Linked DNA regions of Macaca mulatta. The protein of the gene in region 1 interacts with the protein of each later gene in a biochemical or structural test. Links are inferred from orthologs where the notes say so. Each region holds a gene or a part of one and is shown in the gene's direction. Other genes may lie near its edges.

Region 1 (16,262 bases):
AAAAGCTTATCCACCATGATCAAGTGGGCTTCATCCCTGGGATGCAAGGCTGGTTCAACATTCGCAAATCAATAAATGTAATCCAGTATATAAACAGAACCAAAGACAAGAACCACATGATTATCTCAATAGATGCAGAAAAGGCTTTTGACAAAATTCAACAGCCCTTCATGCTAAAAACAATCAATAAATTCAGTATTGATGGAACGTACCTCAAAATAATAAGAGCTACTTATGACAAACCCACAGCCAATATCATACTGAATGGACAAAAACTGGAAAAATTCCCTTTGAAAACTGGCACAAGACAGGGATGCCCTCTCTCACCACTCCTATTCAACATAGTGTTGGAAGTTCTGGCTAGGGCAATCAGGCAAGAGAAAGAAATCAAGGGTATTCAGTTAGGAAAAGAAGAAGTCAAATTGTCCCTCTTTGCACATGACATGATTGTATATTTAGAAAACCCCATTGTCTCAGCCCAAAATCTCCTTAAGCTGATAAGCAACTTCAGCAAAGTCTCAGGATACAAAATTAATGTGCAAAAATCACAAGCATTCTTATACACCAGTAACAGACAAACAGAGAGCCAAATCAGGAATGAACTTCCATTCACAATTGCTTCAAAGAGAATAAAATACCTAGGAATCCAACTTACAAGGGATGTAAAGGACCTCTTCAAGGAGAACTACAAACCACTGCTCAGTGAAATAAAAGAGGACACAAACAAATGGAAGAACATACCATGCTCATGGATAGGAAGAATCAATATCGTGAAAATGGCCATACTGCCCAAGGTTATTTATAGATTCAACGCCATCCCCATCAAGCTACCAATGAGTTTCTTCACAGAATTGGAAAAAACTGCTTTAAAGTTCATATGGAACCAAAAAAGAGCCTGCATTGCCAAGACAATCCTAAGTCAAAAGAACAAAGCTGGAGGCATCACACTACCTGACTTCAAACTATACTACAAGGCTACAGTAACCAAAACAGTATGGTAGTGGTACCAAAACAGAGATATAGACCAATGGAACAGAACAGAGTCCTCAGAAATAATACCACACATCTACAGCCTTCTGATCTTTGACAAACCTGAGAGAAACAAGAAATGGCGAAAGGATTCCCTATTTAGTAAATGGTGCTGGGAAAATTGGCTTGCCATAAGTAGAAAGCTGAAACTAGATCCTTTCCTTACTCCTTATACGAAAATTAATTCAAGATGGATTAGAGACTTAAATGTTAGACCTAAAACCATAAAAACCCTAGAAGAAAACCTAGGTAGTACCATTCAGGACATAGGCATGGGCAAGGACTTCATGTCTACAACACCAAAAGCAACGGCAGCAAAAGCCAAAATTGACAAATGGGATCTCATTAAACTAAAGAGCTTCTGCACAGCAAAAGAAACTACCATCAGAGTGAACAGACAACCTACAGAATGGGAGAAAATTTTTGCAATTTACTCATCTGACAAAGGGCTAATATCCAGAACCTACAAAGAACTCAAACAAATTTACAAGAAAAAAACAAACAACCCCATCAAAAAGCGGGCAAAGGATATGAACAGACATTTGTCAAAAGAAGACATGCATACAGCCAACAGACATATGAAAAAATGATCGTCATCACTGGCCATCAGAGAAATGCAAATCAAAACCACAATGAGATACCATCTCACACCAGTTAGAATGGCGATCATTAAAAAGTCAGGAAACAACAGGTGCTGGAGAGGATGTGGAGAAATAGGAACACTTTTACACTGTTGGTGGGATTGTAAACTAGTTCAACCATTATGGAAAACAGTATGGTGATTCCTCAAGGATCTAGAACTAGAAGTACCATATGACCCAACCATCCCATTACTGGGTATATACCCAAAGGATTATAAATCATGCTGCTATAAAGACACATGCACACATATGTTTATTGCGGCACTATTCACAATAGCAAAGACTTGGAATCAACCCAAATGTCCATCAGTGACAGACTGGATTAAGAAAATGTGGCACATATACACCATGGAATACTATGCAGCCATAAAAAAGATGAGTTTGTGTCCTTTGTAGGGACATGGATACAGCTGGAAACCATCATTCTTAGCAAACTATCACAAGAACAGAAAACCAAACACCACATGTTCTCACTCATAGGTGGGAACTGAACAATGAGATCACTTGGACTCGGGAAGGGGAACATCACACACCGGGGCCTATCTGGGGAGGGGGGAGGGTGGAAGGATTGCACTGGGAGTTATACCTGATGTAAATGACGAGTTGATGGGTGCTGATGAGTTGATGGGTGCAGCACACCAACATGGCACAAGTATACATATGTAACAAACCTGCACGTTATGCACATGTACCCTACAACTTAAAGTATAATAATAATAATAAATAAATAAAATAAAAAAAAAAGAAATAAAGAAAATGATGAAATGTGAAAAAAAAAGATAAAACATATAATAGTTATAACAGGCTATATTAAGCTGATAAAATTTAACTTCAATGATAAAAAAACCTCCACACTTTTACTCTCCCTCCACATTTTATAGGTTTTTAATATTTTTCAGATTTTATGTTTTTGATGTTATAATTCACATCTTTTATATTGTGTATCTGTTAACAACTTATTGTAGTTATAATTATTTTGAATAGTTTTGTCTTTTAATCTTCATTCCAAAGGTATAAGTGATTTATACACCACCATTATAATATTGGAAAATTCTGAATTTCACTATGTTTTTATTTTTACCTGTGACTTTTATACTTTCATAGATTTTCATGTTACTAATTAACATCCCTTTCTTTCAGCTTGAAAAATTCCCTTTAACATTTCTTATAAGGCAGGTCTGGTGTTGATGAACTCCTTCAGCTTTTATTTGTTTGGGAAAGTCTCTATCTCTCCTTTATTTCTGAAGGATGGAACTCTTGGTTGGCAGTTTTTTCTCTTTCAACATTTTGAATATATCATCTCACTGTCTCTGGGCCTAGAAGGATTCTGCTGAGAAATCTTGTGATAACCTTATTGCAGTTCTTGCCTGTGATATGCTTCTTTTCTCTTGCTGATTTTAGGATCTTGTCTTTGTCTTTGATTTTTGATAGTTTGATTATTATGTCTTGGTGTGATCTTTTCTGGATTGAACCTGACTGGAGATTTTTAAGCTTCCTGTACCTGAATATTTATATTTTATTTCAGATTTGGGAAATTTTCATCTAGAAATCTTTAAATATGCTTTCTGACCTCCTTTTTCTCTATTTTCTCCTTCTTAAACTACTGTAATGTGAATGTTAGCTCTCTGTTTTTTAATTTTTAGTTTAATTTCCATTTTTATTTTTTGAGATGGAGTCTCACTCTGTCACCCAGGCTAGAGTTCAGTGGCATGATCTCAGCTCACTGAAACCTCTGCCTCCTGGGTTCAAGAGATTCTGCTGCCTCAGCTTCCCCAGTAGCTGGGATTACAGACATGTGCCACTATCCCTGGCTAATTTTTTTGTATTTTTAGTAGAGATGGGGTTTCACCTATGTTTGTCAGGCTGGTGTCGACTCCTGACCTTAGGTGATCCACCCACCTTGGCCTCCCGAAGTGCTGGAATTATAGGCATGAGCCACTGTGCCTGGCTGAATGTTAGCTCTCTTTATGCTGTCCCATAAATCCTATAGGCTTTCATCATTTCTTTTCATTCTTTTTTTCTCCTCTCACTGTATATTTTCAAAAACCTGTCTTCAGTTCACAGATTCTGTCTTCTGCTTGATCAAGTCTGCTATTGATGACTTCTACTGCATTTCTCACTTCATTCATTATATTTTTCAGCTCCAACTTTTTTTTATCATTTTAATCTTTCTGTTATATTTCTTATGCTGTCCATTTATTGTTTCTCTGATTTCACCAAATTGTTTCTCTGTGTCTGCATCAAAGTCACTGAGCTTCTTTAAAAGCAATTATTTTGAATCCCTTGTCAGGCCATTTGTAGTACTCCATTTCTTTTGGGTCAGCTACTGGGAAATTATTGTGTTTCTTAGGTGGTGATATTTTAATTTGGGTTTTCATGTTTCTTGCTGCCTTACACTGATGTTTGAGCATCTGGTGGATCTGCCGCAATTTCAGGCTGTATGGGCTGACTTTGGTGGATAAATACCATCTTATGTAGGATAATGCAAGGATGCTGGCTGGGTGGGATGCAAAAGTTCTAACTTCAGTGGGGGCAAAGCTGTGTGGTCTCCATGCAGATCTGTCAGCTGAGGTTGGTGTCGGTGAAGACTACAGGGATCCTTAGAAGCCAACACTGTGGGTATCTATAGTGGCAAGGAGGCTGTTGAGGTTTTCAGTGGTGACAAGTCCTCCGTATCTCTTTTTTTCCCCACCTGGGAAGTTGTGACTGAAGAAATTCCTCTTGGAACTAGGTCTAACTTGCAGGCCTGCTTATGGTGGTGGTGGCACTGGTGTCTGATGAATAGTGCCCATGGAGTGGTCAAGAGTCAAGGCCTGAAGCATGGGCATGCATGGAGGGACCACAGCACCAGATTCAATGGTAGCAATGGCACCAGTGCCCAAGGCACAGGCATACTTACTATCACATTGACAATAGTGTGTAAAGTGCAGGTACATATAAAGCAGCTGAGGAGCAAGGGACTTTACTGCACGTATATGCAGAGCTACAGTGGCTCCAGGATCCCGGGTGTGGGTTAGCTCTCCTTGTTGGCTGAGCTGGTGACTGGAGCATGGACAGGCACAGAGAAACCTTGATTCTGGGACTGGGACCCAGGGTGTGTACTAGCTCACTGTAATGGTGGCTCTGGTGTTGGAGGTGTGGTTGTGTGTAGCGCAGCCTCAGAGCCAGGGTCTGGAGCACAGGCGTGCACATTACTACAGTAGCTCTGGAGTCAAGAATAGGGGTTAGCTTTCTACAGTGGCTGAACTGGTGTCCGGAGCAAAGACTTTCACAGAGAGAACTTGGTTTGGGGTCCCACAGTGAGATCTAGTTCACAACAGCAATGACTCCAGTGTCTGAGACATGAGTAGGTGCACTGCAGCCACAGAGCCACAGTCCGGAGTGTGAATACCTGCAGAGCAGCCACAACTTTTGGGGATCAGGGAAACACATAGAGTTGCAAGAGGTGGCAACCCTGGCCCCAGTCCTGGGGCAGTACAATAGCTGCTTCTTGGTGAGGGGGTTTGGGGGGTGGTGCAACTGTGTCTCCCTTTCTAGCATCCTGCTGTGGGGATGGCTGTTGGTTACCTTAGTGACAAAAGATGCCAGTGTCCTCTGTGGAGCAGGACACTGGGGGCCACAGTGGCTCTTACCACGTGACTGACACTGATAGCCTACAACTTTCTTTATTCCTAGATATCTCCTGGTGTCTCATATAGGCCAGTCTCACTAGTGATTCTTCTACATGGATATTGTTTTCTTTTCTCCATTTTGTTGTTCCAAATTCTTTAACAGGCTCTTGAGCCCCACCCTGCAACTCCCCACCCTCTTGAGGGCTATTTTGATTTGTGTATAGCTGTCTATATTTGTTTTTTCTTGGGGCATAAGGCTGACATCTGCTACTCCACTATCTTGCTAATGTCACCTCCATAGGAATCTTTTTATGTTTTTTTTATATTCACTAAAATTTAACAACATCAACTTAAAAACATATTACCAGTTGCACTTATTAATATGAAACTTATTATCAACAAGAACCTATCAGGTTGGGCATGGGGGCGCATGCCTGTAATTCCAACATTTTGGGAGGCTGAGGTGAAAGGATCACTTGAGCCCAGGAATTCAAGACCAGCCTGGGAAATATAGTGAGACCCTATCTCTAGAGATTTTTTTTTTAATTAGCCAGGAGTGATGGTACACATCTGTAGTCCCAGCTACTCAGGAGGCTGAGGTGGGAGAACTGCTTGAGCCCAGGAGGTCAAGGCTGCAGAAAGCAGTTATCATGCCACTGCACTTCAGCCTAAGGACACAGAGTGAGACCCTGTCTGAAAAAAATTAAAAAAAAAAAAAGAGAACCTACTAGTCTACATACCACCCTTCCTCATCTCCATCTGAGACTATATATATATATATATATTTATATATATATTTATATATATTATATATTATATATATTATATATATTATTATATATTATTATATATATTATTATATATAGTATATATATTATTATATATTATATATAATATATATAGTATATATATTATATATATATTATATATATTATATATATAATATATATAAAATATATATATACACTATATATATATAATATATATATATATATATATATATTTTTTAACATGAGGCAATGCCAAAAAGAGGGGCTGGTGAATGAAAGTAAGAACAGAAAGACATGGAGGCAAGTCTTGTAGAATAATAGCCAACACTTAAACTTACACTTACAGCATGCTAAGTATTGTTCCAAACACTTTAAATTCATTTAATTGTCCTTACACGTCTATGTGTTTGGTGATTATTAACCTTATTATTCACATTGCTGAGTGTATTAGTCTGTTCTCATGCTGCTGATAAAGACATACCCAAGACTGGGTAATTTATTTTAAAAAAAGAGCTTTAATGGACTCACAGTTCCACATGGCTGGGGAGGCCTCACAATCATGGCAGAAAGCAAAAGATACGTCTTACATGACAGCAGGGAAGAGAGAGAAATGAGAACCAAACAAAAGGGGTTTCCCCTTATAAAACCATCAGATCTCATGAGACTTATTCATTACCATGAGAACAGTATGAGGGAACCACCCCCATGATTCCATTATCTCCTACCAGGTCCCTCCCACAACCTGTGGAAATTATGGGAGCTACAATTCAAGATGAGATTTGGGTGGGGACACAGCAAAACCACATCACTGAGGAAACTGAGTCATACGGAGATGAGTAACGCCCAACACAGCTGGTAGGTGGTGGAGCTAGGCAGTCTGACTCTGGGGTCTAGACTCTGAACTGCATCATGCTGCCAAGAAGTTCCTCAGTTTTTCATCTCTCTAAGCTTCCCTTATTCCCCTACAGTCATTCCTTCAACAGCATCTCCTTCACAATCTTTTCTACTTCTACTATATAATTAATTTCTTCTTCTTGGTACCAAATTCCAAAGTGCAAATGCAGCCTCACATGCCCTAATTCATCTTTACCTTTAGACTTTCTTCCAATGTTTCTACTTCATTCCATTTTAAATTTATCCATGAGATGCCTATTTACAAGCTGTAACCATCATGAAGTGAATGAAGAATAATACCTACTACTACACAATAGAATTCTGAGAGTATAAATAGGAGTTATGGCTTTCTGACTTGATACTAAATACCTGATACTTGATTTTGCTGTCTGAGATCTAATCTGAAAAGTAGTAATAATCGCTAACATTTGTTGAGCGTCAATTGTGGGCCAGGTGTCATTTCAATCACTCTCTACATATTAACTCATTTGATTCTACAACAACCCGGTGAGACAAATTTTGTTATTCTATTTTACAGTTGAGGAAACAGAGGCATAGAGAGTTTAAGTAATTTGCCCAGTGGATAGCCAGAGGCAGAGCCAGGATGGGTCTCAGGCTGTTTAACAGCATAGCTCAAGTCTTAACTACTATGCCAACAGCTTTTTGGTCCTACATATTCCATGGGAAGAGGAAAATAAAAAGGTATCTATTTGTATACCTTTTTATTTCTGCTATAAGAAGCAGAATTTCTTTCATGTGACCTATGTCTATTTAATACGTCATTTTGAAACTTACCAGTAAACTTCCCTAAGTGCCAGAAAACCGTTAGTGGCTTTTTCCTTTTCTCTCTAATTTTTATTGTGCTACTATTTTTGCTCCTTTCCCTCAGAAGGCTGCTGGAATAGTAAACATTCACTGACATTTCACGACAACTGGAAAATGGGCACTGGAAAATCACATTATGATTAATTCAAAGCATATTTTCCAAATGTACGACTTTAAATTGGGGCTTATATCATAATCAAAGGAAACCTTTGTGTATGTACTGTTACCACGTTGCTCAGCGCAGGAATGATTCACCTTGCCCTGTCTCCAGACCATCTCCCATGGAAGGGGGTGACCCCTTTGCCTCTTGGCAACCACTGTTTCTAAGCTGCCAACATCACCCTCGCATTATCAACATTCTAACTTCATGGGAAGGGCTGTGGTGAGTTTCTGGAATGTGAATAGGAAGTTGTTTTTCTAAACAGCCTGACACTGAGGGGAGGCAGTGAGATTATAAGAAGTCCAGGTTGGGCGGAAGGCAGAAAACCAGCAGAGTCGCAGAGGAGATGGTGAGTTTATTTTTTTTCTGCATGGGAAGTGGTTGAAGTGAGTTGGAGTGGTTTGGGACTAAGTCAGGCAGGTAAAGTTTCAGAAAGTGAGGAACAGCGATAGCCATGGAGTTTTATGTTGAATTGCCTATTAGATTTTGTGAGTGCTTTTAAACTTGCTGTCCACTTTGACCCTCCCAACATCTTTGTGAGTTGAGGTTGCTATTTCTATTTTACAAATGAAGTCATTGTGGCTTACAGAGGCTTTGTTTTATCTAAGCTGCACTGTTAGGCTACATGATGTTGGGATCTGGGTCCTGTCCTCTGGCTCTGCAGCTGCTGTTCCTCCTACTGGAATCTACAGGGGCTCTCTGAGAGTAGATCATGGTAAACCTGTCACCCCATTTTCCAAGACTGCACTTCTGTCTGGGATAAATGATGAAATAAATGGAAGACTGGGCAACTGCCCTGGGACAAGCTTACAATGGAAGAGTTTCTCATCCCCATCCCTCCCATTTCTTTCTGTGAGCCTATGAATCTTCTGGGACTGATCTGGAATATACACATAGTTTCCATTTCTGCCCTAAGTCTCAATCTTGTTAATGACTCAGTTTCTTCTTCTATAAAATGGATATAGTAATAATACTCTATAGTTTTATCATGAGGATTAAATAAGATTTTGCTGAAAAGCATCCAGATCTGAGCCTGACACATAGTAAGTGTTAGTAAATGTTAGCCATTATTGTTAGAAGAAAAAGAACAATCTTAGGAATGGTGGGGTTTAGGATTCAGGAAAGATCCAAGGATAGCTAGGCATTTTGAACTCAGCAATGTTATATGCACCTAGATAAAATGCACATGGTTAGGCTACTTCTAATTTTCCCCAGACTTTCCAAGAGTATCCCACGTAGTCCCAGGGTCTGAAATCCTGCAGTCTGTGGCTGTGGAGGAAACAGGCAGCTCTCTGTTTTTGAGCACCGTTCTGTGGGACTCCAGAAAAAAGTACCGCATACATCTGATTCATCCCACTTCTTTGCTTTACTATAGCACACTTTTCAACTACTTATAATGTGGGGTTCCGTGTTGGGGAAAACAGGAATGAGAGTATGATAAAGAGAAGAGGAAGGAGTTTGAGCCTGTCCTAAGTTTGAACCACAATGACATGAGGATATGAGTTACTTTTGTCTTATCTTTTTGCATGTCATACTTCTGAATTGGTTAACTTAAATGAGCAGTTCTTCCTCCCTTCTACTCTCCTTGGTATCCTTCTGTATTTCAAAGGTATGAACATAATTATTGGATCATAGAGTTCTTTGAGATTTTGATGAAAGTTACAACTTGTCTTTCTCAGATGAAAGCAAAAACATCCACATAAACACCAACCTTCAGAGACAACCACAGGAGGTTCCCAGACCTCCGTGTGGATCCCACGATCAGAACCTTTCTCGATTGCCTCCTGTGCTTTGTGTTCAGAAGCCCCTCTGTAAGTTTTGCTTCCAGTTCAGAGAGTGGCTTTAATTAACTTTTAGGACCTGAGAAAATGAGGATAAGGTTTTTCTGGTGGGGTGTTTTCAATCAGATAGATCTCAGAGGAGTAACTCTTGACTGGGAACTTATAGTTAAATTGCATTGATGTTTGTCAAACTTTTAGCAGGCTACGGCTGGGCGCAGTGGCTCATGCCCGTAATCCCAGCACTTTGGGAGGCTGAGGTGCATGGGTCACTTGAAGTCGGGAGTTCAAGAGCAGCCTGGCCAACAGGGTGAAACACCATCTTTACTAAACATACAAAAATTAGCTGGGCATGTTGGCATGCGCCTGTAATCCCAGCTACTCAGGAGGCTGAGGCAGAACAATCTCTTGAACCCAGGAGGTGGAGGTGGCAGTGAGCCGAGATCATGCCACTGCACTCCAGCCTGGGTGACAGAGCAAGACTCGTCTCCAAAACAAAACAAAACAAAACAAAACAAAAAGTTTTAGTGGGCTAAGGAGCAGGTCTGGATTATTTTCCATTTATACCTTTTAACCACCTTAGCTATGTGGCTTCTAGTCCTTACTCTTCTTTTCATTACCTGTTTTTCAAAATGCAACTAAAATAGTTCAGACTCTCCTGGGCTGGCCACCAGCTCTTAGAATGTGCATCTTCAGAGATCTTTAAGTAGAAGCTTATTAATCAAATCCTCAAAAATCAAAATGACTTACTACATAAAAAGCTGTGCTTAGAAAAAACCCTGGATCTAACCCTAGAGAGTAGGTACACAGTGGTTTTATAAATGACATTCGTTATATTGTCTTCAAGGTGTCTAATCTCTCTGATTGAAAAGTAAACCTGAAACTTTATGAAGTCAAATGCAGAGCAAATCCTTACTATTTGTAGAGATATAACTCATCTCCGATCCAATGACTTTTTTAAAAATTTAAGTATGGTACTTTATTTTTAATGCTAATAGTTTACTCAAAATAATGGCAATTAGTAGTCTAAATTAAGTATATGCTTGGATTCTAAATGTTGATGTCCTAGGTCCCTTCCTGTCTATATTCATAATTTGCTCTTTGGCTTAGAGACAACCTCTTTTCTCACTGTATTTCTTTTTCCACCCCTAAGCTGGGCTACTCATATCTGTGCCACACCACTACCACAACCATCATCCAGAAACATAAGGGAACTAATGTATTAGCTGTAATAGCTTGTAACATCTGGGCTTTGCTACCAACAAGTTGTATAGTTCTGCATCCTCCATGACTCTCATATTCACCTCCCCCATTTGCATTCCCACTGATGCCAGACCAAACCAGTCCCTCTTTAACTCTCACTGGACCATTGCAATAGCCTCTTCTTTTGCAGTGCAATCTCCCTGATTCTAACTCATTGAAGAGAAAAAAAAAAAAAAAAAAAAAGATCGCACCACTCTCACCCCTATAATCTCAGCATTTTTGGAGGCCAACAAAAGAGTTTTGCTTGAGCCCAGGAGCTCCAGGCCAGTCTGGGCAATATAGTGAGAACTTATCTCTACAAAAAAATTAGCTGAGTGCGGTGGTACATGCCTGTAGTCCCAGTTACTCAGGAGGCTGAGCTGGGAAGATCACTTGAGCCTGGGAGGTGGAGGTTTCAGTGAACCCAGATCATGCCACTGCATGTTATCCTGGGCAACAGAGCAAGACCCTATCCCCCAGCCCCCCGAAAAAAATCATACCACCATTAAGTGCATGTGTTCATGATACTTCTCTGTTCAGAACCCTGCAATTAGATCCCTTCTGCCAACTGGTATTTGTGACCCACAAGATCTGGTTTCAAACTACATTTTCAATTAAACTCGAGGACCTCCCAATCTTCAGCAGGCTGGAGTGCAGTAGCGCCATCTCAGCTCACTGCAACCTCTGTCTCCTAGGTTCAAGTGATTCTCCTGTCTCAGCCTCCTGAGTAGCTGGGATTACAGGCATGTGCCACCATGCCCGGCTAATTTTTGTGTTTTTAGTGGAGATGGGGTTTCTCCATGTTGGTAAGGCTGGTCTTAAACTCCTGAACTCAAGTGATCTGCCTGCCTTGGCCTCACCAAGTGTTAGGATTACAGGTGTGAGCCACCCTGCCCAACCTCCCTTGGCTTATCGTTGCCCTTAGAATAAAATCTCATCTGCTTGTTTTGGATCCCAAAGCCTGATGTGATCTGTCACTACCCCCATCTCATATTTTTCTCTCCATTGCTCATTCCATTCTGGCCACACTAATGTCTTCATGTTCTTTGAACACACTGCAGTTTGCTTCCACCTTAAGGCCTTTGAAATAGCTTTTTCTTCTTCCTTTAATGCTCTTCTTCCTGCTTCTCACTGACTGGTTTCTTGTCATTCTTCTCTCCACTTAAACATTATCTCATTAAAGAGGTCTTCCCTGACGTTCCTGACCAACATAGTGACACAGTCATTCTATCACATAAGTTTCATTTCCTACCTAGCGCTTATGGCTATATTCTATTAATATTTTTCATGTTTACTTGCTTAGTACTATTGCGTAGTTATTAGTATTTGTTTCATTGTCATATCTACCAATAGAATGTGCATTCTATGAGGACTGGAATTCTGTCCGTCTTCACCATTTTATTTGTTCACTTAGATATTATCACTAATGTAAAAGTAATACACTCAGTTATAATTATTATGTATTTTTCCAACATTTTTCTATTTAGCATATTTTTATCTTACTTTCAGTCATTCCTCTGCCATTATTCATTCATTCATTTATCCATAAAATGTTTATTAAGCATTAAGTATGTGCCATACCATGGCTGGGGATTCAGACCTGAGTGAGTAATAGTCCTTGCCCTTGAGAAGCCTCTGTCAGTAGCTTCCTCAGTTGTATACTCACATGTTTGTCGTGCATTTAAATTGTGGACCTCCTGCTCAAGAGAATATTCAGAAATGGAGATGCTGATTAGAGGACATTGGAAACAGATGACCATAAGGAGGTCATCTTTACTTTCCAGTAAAGCAGAAGAATGAGAAGAGAATAGGGCCATGGAAGTGGGAACCTAGAGAAACCCTTACCTCTGCAAGGGAAGGCAGAGGATTGAGGTAGATTCAGAAGACTCAGAAAAGTTTCTCAAACATTAGAGCAGAAGAACAACAGAAGAGCTAAGGGAAGCATTTTAGGCAAAAGGAAGTAGTGGTATTTATTGCTACAGAAAGGTCAAGGAAGATAAGGGTGGAAAGTCTTCATTTGGTTTGGTAATGAGGATGTCAGCAATGAAGTTTGCAGGAACACTTTGCTAGGATGATGGGGCAGTGGGCTGGAAAGTAAAGGGGAGGCAAGCAAGTTAAGAAAGTTTAGCTATAGAGGAAGGACAGAAATTGGGCTGATATGGGCAGGAGAACAAAGGGTCAAGGGACGGACATTGTTTGATTCTGCCTTCTTAAAAGCACAAAACTGTGGTCTACAATGTAGACAAAGAGAACAGGATCTCGTTTCTGTGGCACTATTCCTGCCAACTTTGTAAGCCACCTGGAACGTGGCAAGCCATGGGACACCTACTAGCCTCTGGTACCTCCTTCTATGAAAAGTTAGGTCAAGGCATTTGCTTATTCCACTTTCTCTCTGCTTCTTTCTTTACCCTGCAATCATTATTAGTTTTTTTTGTTTGTTTTGTTTTTTGAGAAAGAGTCTCACTCTGTCGCCAAGGCTGGAGTGTCTTGGCTCACTGCCACCTCCGCCTTATGGGTTCGAGCGATTCTCTTGCCTCAGCCTCCCAAGTAGCTGGGACTACGGACATGCGCCACTATGTCCAACTAATTTTTGTATTTTCAGTGGAGACGAGGTTTTACCACGTTGCCAGGCTGTTCTCGAACTCCTGACCTCAAGCAATCTGCCCACCTTGGCCTCCTAAAGTGCTGGGATTACAGGCCCGAGCCACCCCACCCAGCCTAGTTCTTTATTAAAGTAAAATTAAAGATAATCATGGTGCTTAATGAAGGCTTACAGAGGCACAGGATGTTATTCTAATGACCGAGTCTCTGACTCCTTTCCAGCAACTTCCAGTTGAACCAGGCTTCCAGAGCACATCAAAGACTAGCAGAGCATATGGATGCTTCTAGAGAGGAATTTCCTCTTGTTTTCGTACTTAACTTGCTTAGTGACACAGGACAGAGCAGCATCCTGAAGACTATAATGCAGAGTAGGAGCAGGTGTGAGAAGGCCTGCCCACCCCAAGCAGGTTTCAGAGGAAGATTGTTACTCGAAGAAGATTTTTAAACATCATCCATTCTCCACACCTGCACACAAAATCCTTGTCAGTTGCCTTACAGTTAACACAGAATCTTGAACTCGGGCCCCATTATACATGGACAGATTTAGTAGGTCATGAACCATCTGAGATTGTCTAAAATACTGCAAGTATGCATATGTTTTGAAGAAGTCTGACCATGGCTTTTATCAGATTTTGAAAATGCACAAGCCCTGGAAGAATAAGAATTACTGTGTTAACCCTATGTACATTCAGGTGAGCAAGCTTGGGCAAATCATTTACACTCATTGAGTCTCAGCGGTGGGGAGCGGTGGCCGCCCCATCTTAGGCATTCATGATCTGAAGACTTACTGCAGAACAGCAGATAAGTGCTAAGTTAGCTTGAAAGTGACCTTTATGGTCTCCCACAAGAGACCATAAGAGGTGAATCTTGATATTTGGTGATGCAAGGAAACAGAAAACTATGTCAGATTAAAGCAGGGGATGCACACTGACTTGCATTTTCCTTTCTTAGATGTTGTGCCCTTATCGGAAGCACTGTACCAGTCCTCTAAAATTTTAAAATATTTAAAACAAGTTCTCTCGCTCTCTCTCACTTTCTGTTTTGTCTCGTGTGGTACAGAATTTGCTGACGAAATTTTGCTTAAAAAAAGTGTAAACAAACGAACAAACAGGTTAAATGGGAAACATCTCTTTTTGGAAACTTTGTTTAAACCACATCTTATTTAAAAGTTTAAACAAACAAGCCAAAACAGGAAACAGTGGGTAGAGTTGACCACTGTGATGGGAGACTAGGAGACTCGCCGACTCCCTCGCCCCACACACTCTTGTGAGCTGGCCCCAAAGCCAGGGAAATCCCTAGAAATACTCTGTTCAGGGAGAAAACCACTTCCACAGGAAGATTACCACTAAATTTAAAATCGTTGCACTCGTCCTGCAATCTGCCTGAGTAGAGGCAGAGCCCAGGTTCAGAGACAAGCACTTAGGTCCCTTCATGAAGCCTGCAGAGTTGTGCTCTTCAGCAGCAATATTTTTGCTCCTATACCTCCAAAAATATCCTGGAGCACTACGTTACCTCTTACACCTTTCTAAGTGGAAAGCTACAATTTTTTATCCCAAATTTTAAAAGCAAAAGAAGATTGGATTTTCCAATGTATTACAAAAATTAGACTTTAAAAATAAAATTGTTACATAATTTCTTAAAGTTTATCCAATGGAATAAAGTACTAGCGTGATCTGCAATCCTCATCACTTAAAAGACCACAAGCAGACTCTTAGTAATAAGAAATTTTATGTTATTCATTTTTCTCTCCTTGAATACTTATTTCTATCCCACTTCTACATTATTTAGCCTAAGACAACACATTTTAAGCTTAAAGTATTTTCTTGATTATTGTACTTCTTTGCAAAATAAAAATATAATATAAAATTTTAATTTTCTACAACCATAAGTCTCTATGTGTTAAAATGTTTTTCTATTCTATTGAGTTAGCATGACAGCTACTTTTAGTACACAATTAAATAAACTAAGGTAAATATACTACAAGTTTTGACAAGTAATTTAAACCTTTGTATTTAAATTACTATTGAAGATTGGTCTCTAAGAGAGGAGGAGCTTTCCCCTATTTGTTCATATATCCATAAATGAATATTATTTATCAACAAAATCCAACAAGTTTAGCATCAATATTATTCCCATATTTCATTTTCAAGGATTTAAACCTGAGAAACTTCATTCATATGAATAAGTAAATGGAATTAGAAGTTTTATTGTAGCAATGTCTCAATTCCTTGAAGTCCTTCCAAGTTATATGCCCCAAATTACATAGTGATTTAATATCAAAATTTAGTCAAAGCTGACAACTTAATTGAGTGCTCCCTCAAAGCTGATGAAAGGAACTAAATGGAAATCACCATACTTGAAAAAGGATTTGCTGCAATATCATTTAAAATATTCAAATTCTTAATACCTATACCAATATTTTGAATCATCTTTGGCATACGAATGTATTTATATCCAAGGGCAAAGCTCTAGAATAAATAAGAAATTAGTAAAAGGTATAATATTTCTCTTGTAAAGCAGGAGAAAGGTGTATTTTAGGAAAATTGTTTTTAAGAAAGTATATATGTGAAAGTTGAGAATCTGAATATAGATTTAATTAACACTCTCTTTGCTTGTGAAACCCTTGGGAAGTCAGCCTTATCCTGGTTTGAAGATTTCTGCTTCAGCATTTGGAATGGTGCACTTTGAAATGTGTTCGTAACAACAGCTTG
Region 2 (16,249 bases), on another chromosome or scaffold:
GTGATCCCTGTTTCAAGTTCAATGTAACATTTCATTAAGTATACCATTGTGAGGCCTGGCACGGTGGCTCACTTCTGTAATCCCAGCACTTTGGGAGGCCGAGGCGGGTGGATCATGAGGTCAGCAGTTCGAGACCATCCTAGCTAACACGATGAAACCCCGTCCCTACTAAAAATACAAAAAAAAAAAATTAGCCGGGTGTGAGCCGGGCGTGGTGGTGGCATGCGCCGGTAGTCCCAGCTACTCAGTAGGCAGAGGCAGGAGAACTGCTTGAACCTGGGAGGCGGAGGTTGCAGTGACCCGAGATCGAGCCACTGCACTCCAGTCTGGATGACAGAGTGAGACTCCATTTCAAAAAAAAAAAAAAGTATATGGGTATAAAATATACATATACTTTCCCACTCTTCCAATTTCATTATTTCCCAGCAAAGAATCATTCAGGGTCTGCCTGCAAATGGCAAATGATGTAGCACTTCTCTGGTCTGAAGACTCTTTTCTAGGAGGTAGAAGTGGGATTTCACTTCTGCTAGAACTTAAGTACCCCAATTAGGCCTGGACTCTGCCTCCTGCACAGGGGTGGAAGAGGGTCTTAGAAAGGTCCTTTTTATGGGATGAGCCCACCCAGCTCAGGCCATTCTCTGAGGCAAACTCTGCCCACCAGAAGCTTTCTTCCCCCATAGACTTTATAACTTGAGGCTCCGGAAGGAAGAACAAAATGTGGAAACTGATGCGATGCCAAATGATTTCTCATGATTTTTTCTGCAGCTGGGTTCTTCATTTTTCTTCACTTCTACTGAAAGATTTTTTGTGTGTGCCATCTGGACTGAGAGAATTTGGTCTCACAGTTGTCATAGGATGGATGAATTGAGGCAAACTCAAATTTCTGCTTGAGAACTCGCCAGTGATGGAAGGAGGGCGATTCTGAGGCCCCGGGGGCTGGACAGAGTTCCTTTCCACCTATTTGCTTTGTGGGAGTTGGGAAGGTAAAGGCCACAGAATATATTGACTTGTTAACTTATTTAAATTACTTTATTTGTGAATGAGTGATGGTACAAGCTAATGTAATGGAAAACACATCTCATTCTCTTCTGCCCTGGCCACACAGTTTCTCTCCTCAGTGGCCAAGACAATTTCTTGTGTATCTCTTTGGAAATATTTTCTCTGTCAGGCTTCTGTTTTTGTTTTTTTATTCTTAAAATTTAATATTTATTTATTTTTTGAGACAAGATCTCGTTCTGTGCCCAGGCCAGAGTGCAGTGGTACCACCTTAGGTCACTGCCGCCTCCTGAGCTCTAGCAATCCTCCTGCCTCAGCCTCCTAAAGTGCTGGGATTACAGGTGTGAGCCACCCCTGGCCAGTTTTGGTTTTTTTAAACACAAAGTACCGTACTGTACACACTGCTATGTATCTTGCTTTTTTCACTAAAGAATTTATCTTGGATTTCCCCTCTAGTATAGATTATGTTCCTTTATTTTTAATGACTTCATAATATTTCATGATATAACTGTGCTGCAACAAATCCCTGAACATACGTTATTCTGCATTTGTAGAAGTTTATCTGTAGGTTAAATTCTTTTTTTTTTTTTTTTTTTTTTGAGATGGAGTCTCATCTCTGTCACCCAGGCTGGAGTGCAGTGGCACGATCTTGGCCCACTGCAACCTCTGCCTCTTGGGTTCAAGCAATTCTCCTGTCTCAGTCTCCCAAGTAGCTGGGATTACAGGCATCTGCCACCATGCCTGGCTAATTTTTGAATTTTTAGTAGAGACAGGGTTTCACCATGTTGGCCAGGCTGGTCTTGAACTCCTGACCTCAGGTGATCTGCCCGCCTTGCCCTCCCAAAGTGCTAGGATTACAGGCGTAAGCCACTGTGCTCGGCCAGGTTAAATCCTTAAAATAAGAAGAATGTGCATTTTTAATACTGAGATATGTGAAATTCCTTTCCATAATCCCATCAGCATCGATGAGAAAGATTTTTCTTACATCCTTGCCAACACAAGGGAGACACCGAATTTAAATTCTGACCAAAGAGATTAAGAGTTGGCCGGGCGCGGTGGCTCAAGCCTGTAATCCCAGCACTTTGGGAGGCCGAGACGGGCGGATCACTAGGTCAGGAGATCGAGACCATCCTGGCGAACACGGTGAAACCCCGTCTCTACTAAAAAATACAAAAAACTAGCCGGGCGAGGCGGCGGGCGCCTGTAGTCCCAGCTACTCGGGAGGCTGAGGCAGGAGAATGGCGTAAACCCGGGTGGCAGAGCTTGCAGTGAGCTGAGATCCGGCCACTGCACTCCAGCCCGGGCGACAGAGCCAGACTCCGTCTCAAAAAAAAAAAAAAAAAAAAAAAAAAAAAGAGATTAAGAGTTGCTTCTTTATTTTATTTCAAACACCACAGTGTTTGAAATGTAAGAATTTGATGCTTACCTCTAAGCATCCTATTATTCAATTTGCATCTGAATACAGTCACAATTCTTTGTCTTTACACTGGTTTTCTGGTCTCAATGAGGCTTAAGATAATTTGAGTGACTCTACAGGAGGAAAAAGGAACTAATAGTCAAAGAAAATCATCGTGGTTTATTAGCTTTATAAGGATTCCAAAATGCAGGGCTTTTTACATTCGGCACAAGAGTTGTTTTTGTCTTCCTGACAGTGAGCCCGTAGGGTCCCAGTGGCCAGCAGGGGGCAGCACGTACACACAGAGAGTCCGGCTGGGACGCCACCAGCTGATTCAACATGCTGCAGCTACTGGACCTAGGACCTCATCAGTCAGAAATGCAAACTCACTTTGTTACCTTTACTGCCTTCTCATGGTTGGCAGTGAAGCACAAAGCTCGACTAAAAGACCAGGATAAATGGAAATATTCAGTGCCAACCAAGTGCAGGGTGGCACAGAATTAAGAGGGAGTAAGAGGGCTGGGTGCAGTGGTTCACGCCCAAATTCCAGCACTTTGGGAGGCCGAGGCGGGCAGATCACGAAGTCAGGCGTTCCAGACCAGCCTGACCAACATGGTGGAACTCCCTCTACTAAAGATACAAAAATTAGCTGGGTGTGGTGGCGTGCGCCTGTAGTCCCAGCTACTCAGGAGGCTGAGGCAGGAGAATCACTTGAACTCGGAAGGCAAAGGTTGCAGTGAGCCCAGATCACACCACTGCACTACAGCCTGGGCGACAGAGCGAGACTCCATCTCAAAAAAAAAAAAAAAAAAAAAGGATATTATGAACACAACTAAGAATAGCATCATGTTGTAGAACAGAATTTAAATTAAATATTTGGTTATTCCAGCCCCTATTTGTGCTATAAAGCACAGAAGGAACACCTTTATTGGATTCACATTATATTTCATACCTATTTTGCCAAAAAGTGCTAAAAATGTCAACTAGTTAACCCCTGCGTCTTCTGTTCCTCTAGAAACAGGATTTATTATTTTATCTTAAAAAGCAAATGAACCTGTTTCCTTAATATTAGTCCATTCAACCAGCAAATACTGATTGCATGCCAGGTGCAGTGGGTATTGGGTAGACAAGACATAGCCTCTTGGGAGGCTAAGGCAGGAGAATGGCTTGAACCAGGGAGGTGAAGGTTGCAGTGAGCCACTGTACTCCATCCTGGGTAACGGAGTGAGACCCTGTCTAAAAAAAAAAAAGAGAAAGTGGTGGTGCAGGATTCAAATCCAGGTCTGACCCGAGAATCTACCATGTGCTGTGCCAGTCTGGTCTGAGGTCTGCACATAGAAATTGTAGGCATCGTCCAGGCACGGTGGCTCACGCATGTAATCCCAGCACTTTGGGAGGCTGAGGCAGGCGGATCACCTGAGGCCAGAAGTTCAAGACCAGCCTGGCCAACATGGTGAAACTCCGTCTCTACTAAAAAAATACAAAAATTAGCCAGGCGTGGTGGGAGGTGCCTGTAATCCCAGCTACTCGGGAGGCTGAGGCAGGAGAATCGCTTGAACCCAGGAGACAGAGGCTGCAGTGAGCCAAGTTTGTGCCACTGCACTCCAGCCTGGGAAACAAGAGCGAGACTTTGTCTCCAAAAAAAAGAAAAAGAAAAAGAAATTGTAAGCATTGCTCCTCCCTCAGTATTCCTCAGAAGAGAACCAGCATCAGATGAGGGAGTTTTTCATACTATCTCATGAAAGCTATGAAAACTGAAAGTTAAAACTTTCCACACATACATCAATTTATGCAATCAATCTGTTTCAAAATCATTCTATGCCACACTTTCTCTACAAAATGGAAATTGGCCATGTGTCTCAATGAAAAGTTCAGGATAACTGGTAAGAGTCTCGATTTGGTTTAGCGGCATGAGTTATTACTGGCTAAGTTTTTTTTTTTTTTTTTTTGAGACGGAGTCTTGCTTTGTCACCCAGGCTAGAGTGCAGTGGCCGGATCTCAGCTCACTGCAAGCTCCGCCTCCCAGGTTCACGCCATTCTCCTGGCTCAGCCTCCTGCGTAGCTGGGACTACAGGCACCCGCCACCTCGCCCGGCTAGTTTTTTGTATGTTTTAGTAGAGACGGCGTTTCACCATGTTAGCCAGGATGGTCTCGATCTCCTGACCTCGTGATCCGCCCGTCTCGGCCTCCCAAAGTGCTGGGATTACAGGCTTGAGCCATCGCGCCCGGCCTTAAGTTTTTTTTTTGAGACAGAGTCTCTCTCTGTTGCCCAGGCTGGAGTACAGTGGCGCAATCTCGGCTCACTGCAACCTCCGCCTCCTGGGTTCAAGCGATTCTCCTACCTCTCTGCCTCCTGAGTAACTGGGACTACAGGTGTGTGCCACCATGCCCAGCTAATTTTTTGTATTTTTAGTAGAGACAGGGTTTCGTCATGTTAGCTAGGATGGTCTCGATCTCCTGACCGTGTGATCTGCCCACCTCGGCCTCCCAAAGTGCTGGGATTATAGGTGTGAGCCACCGCGCCCAGCCATGACTCAGTTTTTATTAGCAAAAAAACTACGAAAAACCAGGAGAAGCGGATGAATAATAGGAAGAAAGAATTATAAACCAAAAGAACTGCAAAGGAAAAATCAGGCAGTTTTCTTGAGTTTCTAGCTGTACAGGAAACAGGGTAGGGTGGAGACCTGTAGAGAAGATTCTTACCTGGGTTGGGCCTCCAGTTGTCAAAGACCTGGGCAACACCTCCAGTAGGATGCCCAGGGGGAGCTCCTGGGCAGAGGTGAAGGGCTTTGCTCTGTGAATTATCCAGTCTCATTAGCTGGTGATGAAATGGTTCACAAAGCACAGATCCCAAGTGCCTTGCCAGTTTTGGGAATTATTTGGAGACTGATATTCTTTCACGTATTACACAGAGGCAGAGAAGGTAATTACCTTCTGGTTCCTGGCACCTTCAGTGGAAGAGTAAATATTAAGTGAGAGCTACTACTCTGAGGCAGGCAGTATTCTAATATTTACATATACAATAACTCTTTAATAACTAATTACTAATGATGTTATTATCTCCATTTTATAGATGAAGGAACTGAGGCTTTTTGTCTCCAGCAAAATTAGCAGAGCCACGGCTTGAACTCTGGCAGTCTGTCTTTAGAGGCTGTCTTATTCTAGGAATACCACCAGTTAGTTCAACAAGCAGCTTGTGGAGGACATACTATGCTCCCTGCCTTGGAACCCGGCACTCCTGAGTCACAAACAGTCCATATTTTCACCCGGAAAAGGAATGGAGAAGCTGGACCAGAGTATTTATTCTTTCTTTCTTCCTTTTCTTTTTCTTCCTTTCCTCCCCTCCCTCCTTCCTTCCCTCCCTCCCTTCCTCTCTCTCTCTCTCTTTCATTCATTCAGAGTTTTGCTCTTGTTGCCCAGGCTGGAGTGCAATGGCCTGATCTCTGCTCACTGCAACCTCCACCTCTCAGGTTCAAGCTATTCTCCTGCCTCAGCCTCCCAAGTAGCTGGGATTACAAGGTATGAGCAACCACGCATGGCTAATTTTGTATTTTTAGTAGAGACAGGGTTTCACCATGTTGGTCAGGTTTGTCTCGAACTCCTGACCTCAGGTGATCCGCCAGCCTCAGCCTCCTAAACTGCTGGAATTACAGGCGTGAGCCACCACGCCCGGCCAAAGTATTTCTATACAATGTGGTACACTGTTAAACAGGAAAGTCCACTTGTGCTCGACAGAAATTCTTGTGTTCCCAAGCACATCTTAAACGTGCTTGGAAAGTTACTGAGCAAGTGACTGACCTTCAAGGCACAAACCGATTCGGTCACTATTCAGTCAACAGACCCATTGCAGATTTCATTGTCGCTTTGCTTCCCTGAAACTTACTTTGTTTTAATGAGACTGTTCTGAAAAAGTGAAATTTAAACAAATTTAGAATCTTCCTACTCTGTGGTTTGCTTTAAAGACTGAAAAATGCTTGGGCTAAACCTTAAATAAAAAGATCAAGTCTTGCAATTAAAAATTGAACCAAAAATACTAACGAGAGTGTTCTGCAACAGTGAAATTTAAACAAATTTTCAACCATACTAGGTTTGGTCTCTGCTGTTTGCTTTAAAGATTGAAAAACACTTGGGCTAAACCTTCAATAAAAAGATTAGGTCTTGCAATTAAAATTTAAACTCAAAATACTCCACCAGTAAAATTACTTCAACTTTTATTGTGTACTTGAAAGTTTTCACAAGATGGATAGGAAAAAGGTATTCCACCAAAATCTAAAGAGTGATGACGAATCTCCTCTTTGTGCCAGTTCATTAAATTGCCTAATGGCAACTACGGATAAGTAAATGCCTTTAACCCGAACGGTTTTGCTCTTTAAACGAATGACGGGCAACAGAGACCGAAAAAGTGTATCCCCAGGAATTCGAGAAGGACGGTGAATTGTAGTGGTACCGCCAGGAGGGGAGGCTCCTGCCCCCTGAGTAGAACCAGGGAGCAGAGCCGCTCGGGGTGGGCGGTGGGGGCTTCAGGACCGCGGAGGGGATCCCCTCAGGGTGGGCCGTCTCCTCCTCGCCCGCCGCAGGCAGGAGCGGGGGGGACCGAAACCCTGTAGTTTGCAGCGTCCGGCAGCGGGTCCGCGCCCAGCGAGAGGCTCCCCAGCTCCGGGGAGGATGCGGACCCGGGACGCCCCCGTGAGCTCGCTGCGCCTGCCTGACACGAGGCGCTCACAAAACAAAGCAAGGGCTTCGGGGAGGGCGCGGCCGCGGGGCCGAGCGCGCAGATCGCTCCGGACCCGGGCACCGCCTGCGAGCCGCGCCGACCAGCAGGGAAGGGTTAGCGCTAGGCGGCGCCCGGGTCCAGTCTGCCAGGGTGAGTGTCCGGCCCGCGTCCCCGCCACGCCCGCTGCGTTCCCCTTTCCTCTGCGGCGGGCCGAGAGATAACCCCGCCCGAGGAGCCCCGGCGCCCGCCCCCCACGCGGGTCGCACTGGAATTCGCAGCCCCTCTCGGGTCTCCGGGGCACATTTTGCAGTCTGGGTGGCAATGCACTTGCTCCAGGACCAGCTGCTGCCCAGCCGCGGCGGACGGGCGGACTTTTCTTTTGGGGGGTAAGATGGCAGGTCCCGGGAAACAAAGGAAACTTGGGCCCGGCCCCCAGCGCGGCGTGTGTGGCTCGCATGTGTGCCCCGGGTCCTGTGTGGAGTCGCTGGGCGCCTGTGCCAGCCTGCCCGCTGCCCGCAGCCGGCGCGGGGAAACCAGCCGGGTAACAGCAGCCGGCGGCGCCCGCCCACCTGCGGCGGCGCCCGCCCGGGGAGCTCCCTCGCGGGCCGGACCCGCGGCGGCGGTGGCGGTGGCGGCGGCGGGGGAGGGGGCGCTGGGGAGCCCAGAGCAGGGCGGGGAAGGCTGGGAGGCGGCGGGCGGCGGCGGAGGGGAGCCGGGGTGGGCGGGCGGCGCCACGTCACGGCTATTGTGGCTGTCCTGGTATATAAGGTCCCGCCGGCTCGCCGCGCTCCCCACCTTTCCTGCGCCCGCCCGGAGCCAGAGGTTCCTCAGGTACCCGGCATCCAGCGAGACGCGCAGCGCACCGACGGAGGGGACATGGGCAGAGCAATGGTGGCCAGACTCGGGCTGGGGCTGCTGCTGCTGGCACTGCTCCTACCCACGCAGGTGAGGCCCTGGCGCCCGGCGGGGCTCAGGGCCGTGCCCGGGGTGGGGGCGGGGGAGATGGACCAGGTCCCGGGGGCCGTCCTGCGCCCATACTTCGGGCCACGGACAGGGACTGGGAGAGAATCTTGCTTAGCTGACCAGGGGAGAGGGCCATGTGGACCCCATTTTTCCACTCCCTTGCGTGCTGCCCCCTCCCCTCCCACGGCCCTGGGAACAATGCAGCTCCGCGCGCGGGCTGAGAGGACTCAGCCCCACCCCAGGTTCCACGCTGTCCCTTCCCAGGCGGCCAGGTGCCTGCTTCCCACTTTCACCCAGAGGCCCGAGGTGCCCGCAGGGATTAGCGCCTGGAGAGCTCAGGCTCCCGGGCGACGTCGTCCCTGGGTCCCCTGAGGACCCGCTTCCCCCTACGAGTGTCTTCGCGCTCCCCGAGCTCTACACAAAGACAGGCGACCGTCCCTTTCGGGGAGGGCGGCTCACGCCCATCCTCCACCCTCGGAGTTGGACTGGGGATCCCGGAGAAGCTACGGCTATCCGGCTCTTTTTAAATCCCAATCCCGGGAGGTTCGGCGCTGGAGCCGAGGTGGGGACCCTCTCCTGACGCCGCGTTCTCTGCGAGGCAATCTTTCACGTCCATTGCTTGTCATCTTAGGATCCCCATGTTATTTTAGCCCAGATTGGCTAGTTCTGGGGAGGCGGCATGGTGGGACGATTCTGTCCCGAGTCCCCGCCAGGCTTTGTCCGGGTCGCCGCTACCAGCGCCTTCTCCCTAGACCCTCTATCCGGGGAATCTCGCCTCGGGTGCGGGTACCGGGGACCGCGCAGCGCTGCCTCGTGGGTGGATGGATGCACGGTGCAGGCGAGGGAGACCGGGGGCTGGGCCTGGGAGACCCTAGCGGGGGCGGGGGCTAAGAAGGTACGTTTGTCCGGGGGAGTTCGGGTTTGGGGGATGGGAGTGAGGGCTCTCCAGCGCCTTCGGTTGGGGTTAATAGAGGACTGTCTCTGGGGCTTCTCCCCCAAAAGTTGGGCGCGCTGGGCCCTCCGTCCCCAGACATCGAACGTCTGGGCTCACGTGGGAGTGCAGCCTGAAAATGTGCAGCGCTCTTCCCCACCGCGGGCCGGGTAACCGTACCCTATTGTCTTCCTCCCAGTCCGCTGCGCTCCCGAGCCCTCCTCAATTCTTTGATGGGGGAGGGGCGCGGCCGCGAGAAACCGGCCCCCTCTACTCCCCGCCCCATCTTCTCTCCGACCAGATTTTTTCCTCCAACATTGTAAGTGAGAAGTTTTAATAATGCGAATAAATCTAGCTTCGGAGAGAAAATTTTGTTTAGTGTCCGTTTAATAAATTTTTGTTGGTGTAGAGGATCTTTAGATCCTCAGATTGATACACCGGGTTTTAAAAAGAAAATATCACCTGCAGCACTAAAACTAATTGTATGAATAAAGAACAGGTTACTTTCAGGGATCCCAAACAAGGTGTCCAAAACAGGCACCCTGTTTTAAGTAAATTACCATATTAATGCTTTTCTTTATTGGGAGTGCCGTTTCCTGATGGGACACACTAAATCTTGCACACAGTAGGTGCCCAATAAATAAATTGGACTTGATACAGATTTTTTTGTTGTTGTCACTAATCTATTTTGGATAGAATTTGTACATTTCTTTAGTCAATATTTGTTTAATGACTTTATGGATTTACAACAAAAGGAGCTGGTGCTGATGTAGGAGGGCTTTATCTTTGGATTAATAGGCAGCCAAATGTACATGGGGCCCAGACTCTTGCCTGGTGCCACGTCCTCCCTCCCGCCTGTAATCAGAAGCCCTTGTAAACCCTCCCTTGCAGTGAGGGCTGAAAACTCCGATCTGCCTTTGTTCCATGACAAAGGAGAGATTATCACGTGCCCTACTGGACTGTGCATTTCGTGGCTTGAAAAATCAGTGGTGAATGATGCCACTCAGACGCTGGGACACTGGGAGAACCTTGGTTCTTGGCCACAGCACTGAGCTTAGTGACCAGTGAGGCTGCTGCTGGTGAAACTTAACACCATACCCTCTCGCTGTCTTTTGTGAAATCGTTCCGACCTCATGGTGTTTTCTTGAAGTCATTCTGCCTTAAAGGAAAGACTCATTTTCTCTTTCAATTTAACACAAATATTGTGGCCATTTTTTAGAAGAATTATTTCAAATTTCAAGGGAGAAGATAAGACTGCAGTTCCCCCCTTAAGGAAAAGGCTAAGTTTCCAAGGCTGTATTAAATGAGTATGTGAAAGTTACCTAGCAAATCCAGGATAGACACAGACCCAATTAATTCTAGTTCCGTAAGTCTCAGTTACAATATTTAAAAATCCCCATTTTTTTGTGCAACTTTAAAATCTCTCCCTTTCTGCGAAAATAGACCTTATTGCAATGCCATTAAGTCAATATAATCTCGGAAACCGAATTAGTTAACTTGGTCCTTTTTTCCTTTGCAAAGAAATAAAAACAGGAGTTATAGTTATTGAATAACTTTTTTGTTCTTGTTGCCACTTGGCATTTTTGAGGCATCTCTAGGTAGTTTGCTTTGAAACTAAAGAGAATGACCTTGGTGGGCTGAGCAAGAATTTACAATTTAATGATGTTGGGTAAGAGAACAATGGTAAGAGAGCAATCTAAGAATATATCACCTACTTTAATTTTATATTAGAGTATGCGGAGGTAGCTGTGATGTGGAAATTTATCCATGTAACTTTTTATGTATTTTAGATTTATTCCACTGTAACGACTTCTGCACCACTTTCAAGTAACTCCTCCCAGAATACTTCGACTACCCCAAATCCAGCTAATACCACCACCAAGGCCGTTGGTGGTGCCCTGCAGTCAACAGCCAGTCTCTTCGTGGTCTCACTCTCTCTTCTACATCTCTACTGTTAAGAGACTCAGGCCAAGAAACATCTTCTAAACTTCCCCATCTTCTAAACCCAATCCAAATGGCGTCTTGGCAAGGAAAAACAGGTCTTCATTGAATCTACTAATTCCACACCTTTTATTGACGCAGAAAATGTTGAGAATCCCAAATTTGATCTGCTTGAAGAACATGTGAGAGGTTTGACTAGATGATAGATGCCAATGTTAAATCTGCTGGTGTTTCATGTACAAGATGGAGAGGCAACATCCAAAATAGCTTAAGACATGATTTCTTTGAATGTGGTTTAAGAAATATGGACACTTAATCCTACCTTGAAAATAAGAATAGTAATAAAGGATGTGATTGTGGAATGGAGATTCAGTTTTCATTTGGTTCATTAATTCTATAAGGTCATAAAACAGGTAATATAAAAAGCTTCCATGATTCTATTTATATGTACATTAGAAGGAACTTCCAGGTGTTACTGTAATTCCTCAATGTATTGTTTCGACAGCACTAATTTAATGCTGATATACTCTAGATGAAGTTTTACATTGTTGAGCTATCGCTGTTCTCTTGGGAACTGAACTCACTTTCCTCTTGAGGCTTTGGATTTGACATTGCATTTGACTTTTTACATAGTAATTGACATGTGCCAGGGCAATGATGAATGAGAATCTACCCCCAGGTCCAAGCATTCTGAGCAACTCTTGATTATCCATAAAGAGTCAAATGGTAGGCATTTCCTATCACCTATTTCCATTCAACAAGAGCACTACATTCATTTAGCTAAACAGATTCCAAAGAGTAGAATTCCAGTGACCGCAATTAATTTCAAAATACTTTTTATTATTATTATTATTTTTTAGATGGAGTCTCACTTTGTCGCCCAGGCTGGAGTGCAGTGGCGCGATCTCAGCTCAGTGCACCCTCTGCCTCCTGGGCTCAAACGATTCTCCTGCCTCAGCCTCCCAAGTAGCTGGGATTACAGGCACCTACCACCATGCCCGGCTAATTTTTGTAATTTTACTGGAGAAAGGGTTTCACCATGTTGCCCAGGCTGGTTTCGAACTCCTGACCTCAGGTGATCCGCCTGGCTTGGTCTCCCAAAGTGCTGGGATTATAGGCTTGAGCCCCGTGCCGAGCTGTCAAAATGCTTTTTATATCTGCATATGTTGAATACTTTTTACAATTTAAAAAAATGATCTGTTTTGAAGGCAAAATTGCAAATCTTGAAATTAAAAAGGCAAAAATGTAAAGGAATCAAAACCGTAAATCAAGTATTTGGGAAGTGAAGACTGGAAGCTAATTTGCATTAAATTCACAAAAACTTTTATACTCTTTCTGTATATACTTTTTTTTCTTTAAACAGTTATGGATCAGAATAGCCACATTTGGAACACTTTTTGTTATCAGTCAATATTTTTAGATAGTTAGAACCTGGTCCTAAGCCTAAAAGTGGGCTTGATTCTGCAGTAAATATTTTACAATTGCCTCGACACACAGAAACCTTTTTAAAAATAGACACTCCCCGAAGTCTTTTGTTCGCATGGTCACACACTGATGCTTAGATGTTCCAGGAATCTAATATGGCCACAGTAGTCTTGATGACCAAAGTCATTTTTTTCCATCTTTAGAAAACTACATGGAAACAAACAGATTGAACACATCTGAAGCTACTGTGTGTGTGAATGAACACTCTTCTGCTTTATTCCAGAATGCTGTACATCTCTTTTGGATTGTATATTGTGTTTGTGTATTTATGCTTTGATTCATAGTAAATTCTTATGTTATGGAATTGATTTGCATTGAACACAAACTGTAAATAAAAAGAAAGAAATGGCTGAAAGAGCAATCTTGCATTTTAAGTTTTTCCAGTATGAGGAATACTTTGTGGGTAATCATGGTTCTATGAGCCTGTTAAAATTTTTAAAAATAATTAACAAATTTTGGGGATTTTTTTTTTTTTTTTTTTGAGAGACAGGGTTTCACCATGTTGTCCAGGCTGGTCGCGAACTCCTGGGCTCTAGTGATCTTCCTGCCTTGTCCTCCCAAAGTGTTGGGATTACAGGCATGAGCCACCACTCCAGGCCCCAAGTCTGTTAATTTAAACCATAGGGATATACCTCAGTATTTTTCTTTCTCTTTCTTTCCTTTTTTTTTTTTTTTGAGACAGAGTTTTACTGTGTCGCCCAGGCTGGAGTGCAGTGGTGTGATCTTGGACATTTAAACTGAGATCCAAATGACAAGACAATTGTAGGAGGATCTGAGGAAAATTCCCTGGTAGAAGGAACAGCATGTGCCAAGTCCACGAGCCTGCAGCAATTTTTCCCCTATCTATAGGTCCACAGATCCTTTTGGTTATCTACCTACCTACCTACCTACCTACCTACCTACCTACCTACCCACCTACGTACCTATCTATCATCTGTCTGTCTAATTTATGAGATAGGTCTTACTATGTTGTCCAGGCTGGTCTTGGACTTCTGGGCTCAAGTGATCCTCCTGCGTTGGCCTCCCAAAGTACTGGGATCATAGGCCTCCCGAAGTGCTGGGATTACAAGCCACCATGCTTGGCCCTCTTTGGTCATCTAAATTGTCACTTCCGTATGCTCCTTTCACGCCCCTGAGTTCCTCTGAGGCCCTTCAAGTGTGTTCCGAGGTGACTGAGGGACAACCTGGAAAGGCAGGCTGGAACTTGGGAGTATGTGGAAGTTGTAGTCTACAAGTTTCCTTTCTTCTTTCCTCCCTCCTTCCCTCCCTTCTTTCCTTCTTTCTTTCCCTTTCTTTCCCCTCCCCTCCCCTCCTCTCCCGTCCCCTCCCCTCCCCTCCCCTCCCCTCCCCTCCCCTTTCCTCTCTTCTCCTCTCCTTTCCTTTCCTTTTTTTTTGAAACAGAGTTTCGCTTTTGTTGCCCAGGTTGGAGTGCAATGGCACCATCTTGGCTCACTGCAACCTCTGCCTCCTGGGATCAAGTGATTCTCCTGCCTCAGCCTCCCGAGTAGCTGGGATTACAGGCACGCGCCACCACATCTGACTAATTTTGTAGTTTTAGTAGAGATGGGGTTTCTCCATATTGGTCAGGCTGGTCTCGAACTCCCGACCTCAGGTGATCCACCTGCCTTGGCCTCCCAAAGTGCTGGAATTACAGACATGAGTCACCGCGCCTGGTCTTGCAAGTACACTTTCTTCAACGAACTTCAGTTCTGCTTTTAGGGTCTTTCAATTGATGGAATAAGACCCCCTTTGATGATCTAGGTATCTATCTATCTATCTATCTATCTATCTATCTATCTATCTATCTATCAATCATCTATGTGTACCTATATATACACACACACACAAACATGAGGAAGAAATACAACTATTATAATTCTCATTTCTACAATGGGTCATGTGGCTGTAGCTGGTTTTGCAGTTACCTTCTTCCATTATCAATTCCGTATTAACTTGGCTGTCAGTAAACATCTCAGCTGGTCATGCTTCTAAGCCTGGCAAGGTGAACCAAATCTTTGCTTGAATTTTATTGTGGTTTCCCATTGATTGTATTTTATTTTATTTTTGGAGACAGAGTCTTGCTTTGTCGCCCAGGCTGGAGTGAAGTGGCATGATCTCAGCTCACTGCAACCTCCACTTTTTGGGTTAAAGCAATTCTCGTGCCTCAGCCTCCCAAGTAGCTGGGACTACAGGCACACACCACCATGCTCAGCTAAGAGACAGGGTTTTACCATGTAGGCCAGGCTGGTCTCAAACTCCTGACTTCAAGTAATCTCCGTGCCTCAGCCTCCCAAAGTGCTAGGATTACAGGCGTGAGCCACTGTGCCCGGCCTCCCACTGACTTTAGTGACAGGACATAGTAGTACTAAGAGATGCCCTAAAGCATCTGTATTTCAAACATACTTTTCCTTAACTTCTACTGTATAGTAGCAACCCAATTTCCCCATGGTAATCAGAATTAATCACTTCAATAGTACAGTAACTCCCTTCTTTGCCTTTTTTTTTTTTTTTTGAAACGGAGTTTCACTCTTGTTGCCCAGGCTGGAGTGCAATGGTGCAATCTCGGCTCACTGCAACCTCCGCCTACAGAGTTCAAGCCATTCTCCTGCCTCAGCCTCATGAGTAGCTGGGATTACAGGCATGTGCCACCATGCCAGGCTAATTTTGTATTTTTAGTAGAGACGGGGTTTCTCTATGTTGATTGGGCTGGTCTTGAACTCCCAACCTCAGGTGATCCACCCGCCTCGGCCTCCCAAAGTGCTGGGACTACAGGCGTCAGCCACCTTGCCCGGCCTTTCTTTGCCTTTTGATGCAGAGGCTTGAGGAGCCCAAAGTGATTGGATGGCAGTCTTAACTTCCAGTTCAGTGGGATCATTGCTGTGTTTCCAGATTGCAAGCATTCTTCCATTGGAGCTACAACCTCTAGACCAGTAGAGGTTAAAGTAGTGACAATTTTGCTAGTGAATCACTAGGGGTAATGGTGAGTGGTGTCACTAAATTTCCACTCCTTGATTCTTGGGCCTGCAAACCTGGCTATGGGAGAAACAGCACCATATTTAGACCACATATAGCTTCCTGGAGGACACTGCCCCAGTCCTGCAAGGTATTGCCATGTAGTTGGTCCTGTAACTTGTTTCCAAAATGCCATTCCTCTGTTCCGTCACATCAGTGGCTTTATGAGGGACACACTATGCTAAGATCAGTACATTCCATCACCATGGGCCCATCGCCACATGTCATCGGCTATGAAGTGAGTTCTCTGGTCAGAAGCAGTGCTGTGTGGATTACCATGATGGTGACAACCATTCTATAAGTCCACAAATGGTAGTTTTGGCAGAGGCACTGTATGCAAGAAAGGCAAATTCATATTCTGAATAAGTGTCTATTTTACTAAGAACAAATGCTGCCCCTTCCATGATGGAAGAAGTCCAATGTAATCAACCTTCCACCACACAGCTGGCTGATTACCCTGGGCAGTGGTGCCACAGAGGAGACTCGGTGTTGGTCTCTGCAACAGCAGGTTGGGCACTCCCCAGTGGTTGTAGCCAGGTTGACTGTGGTGAATGGAAGTCTACGCTGCTGGGCTTCTGCCACCATGAGCCCACTGGACAATGACAAGAATGGCTGGAGAAAGAGGTTGATTGATATCCACAGAATGAGTCCTCCGATCCCTTTGATTATTAAAATCCTCTACTGAGCTCACACTTTAACGAGCATTCACATGAGACACAAATATCTTCACATTGTTTGCCTATATACCTCTATCCTTGCATCTCTTCCCTATATCTTCTTGTTACAGACTTTCCAGTTATGTCTCTTCCAC

What was found.
Region 2: the proteins of SELP (region 1) and CD24 form a complex in vitro, tested with the Homo sapiens proteins (2 studies listed by BioGRID and IntAct). The link is inferred for Macaca mulatta from reciprocal best matches to the Homo sapiens genes SELP and CD24.

The regions. Positions count from the first base shown.
Region 1 is NC_133406.1:27,127,632-27,143,893, reverse strand, and holds the start of SELP (P-selectin), read left to right. Parts: upstream 1-8,140; 5' UTR 8,141-8,276; coding exon 8,277-8,279; intron 8,280-16,262. UniProt on the Homo sapiens protein: Ca(2+)-dependent receptor for myeloid cells that binds to carbohydrates on neutrophils and monocytes. Mediates the interaction of activated endothelial cells or platelets with leukocytes. The ligand recognized is sialyl-Lewis X.
Region 2 is NC_133409.1:78,781,869-78,798,117, forward strand, and holds CD24 (signal transducer CD24), read left to right. Parts: upstream 1-7,899; 5' UTR 7,900-7,982; coding exon 7,983-8,051; intron 8,052-10,790; coding exon 10,791-10,958; 3' UTR 10,959-12,787; downstream 12,788-16,249.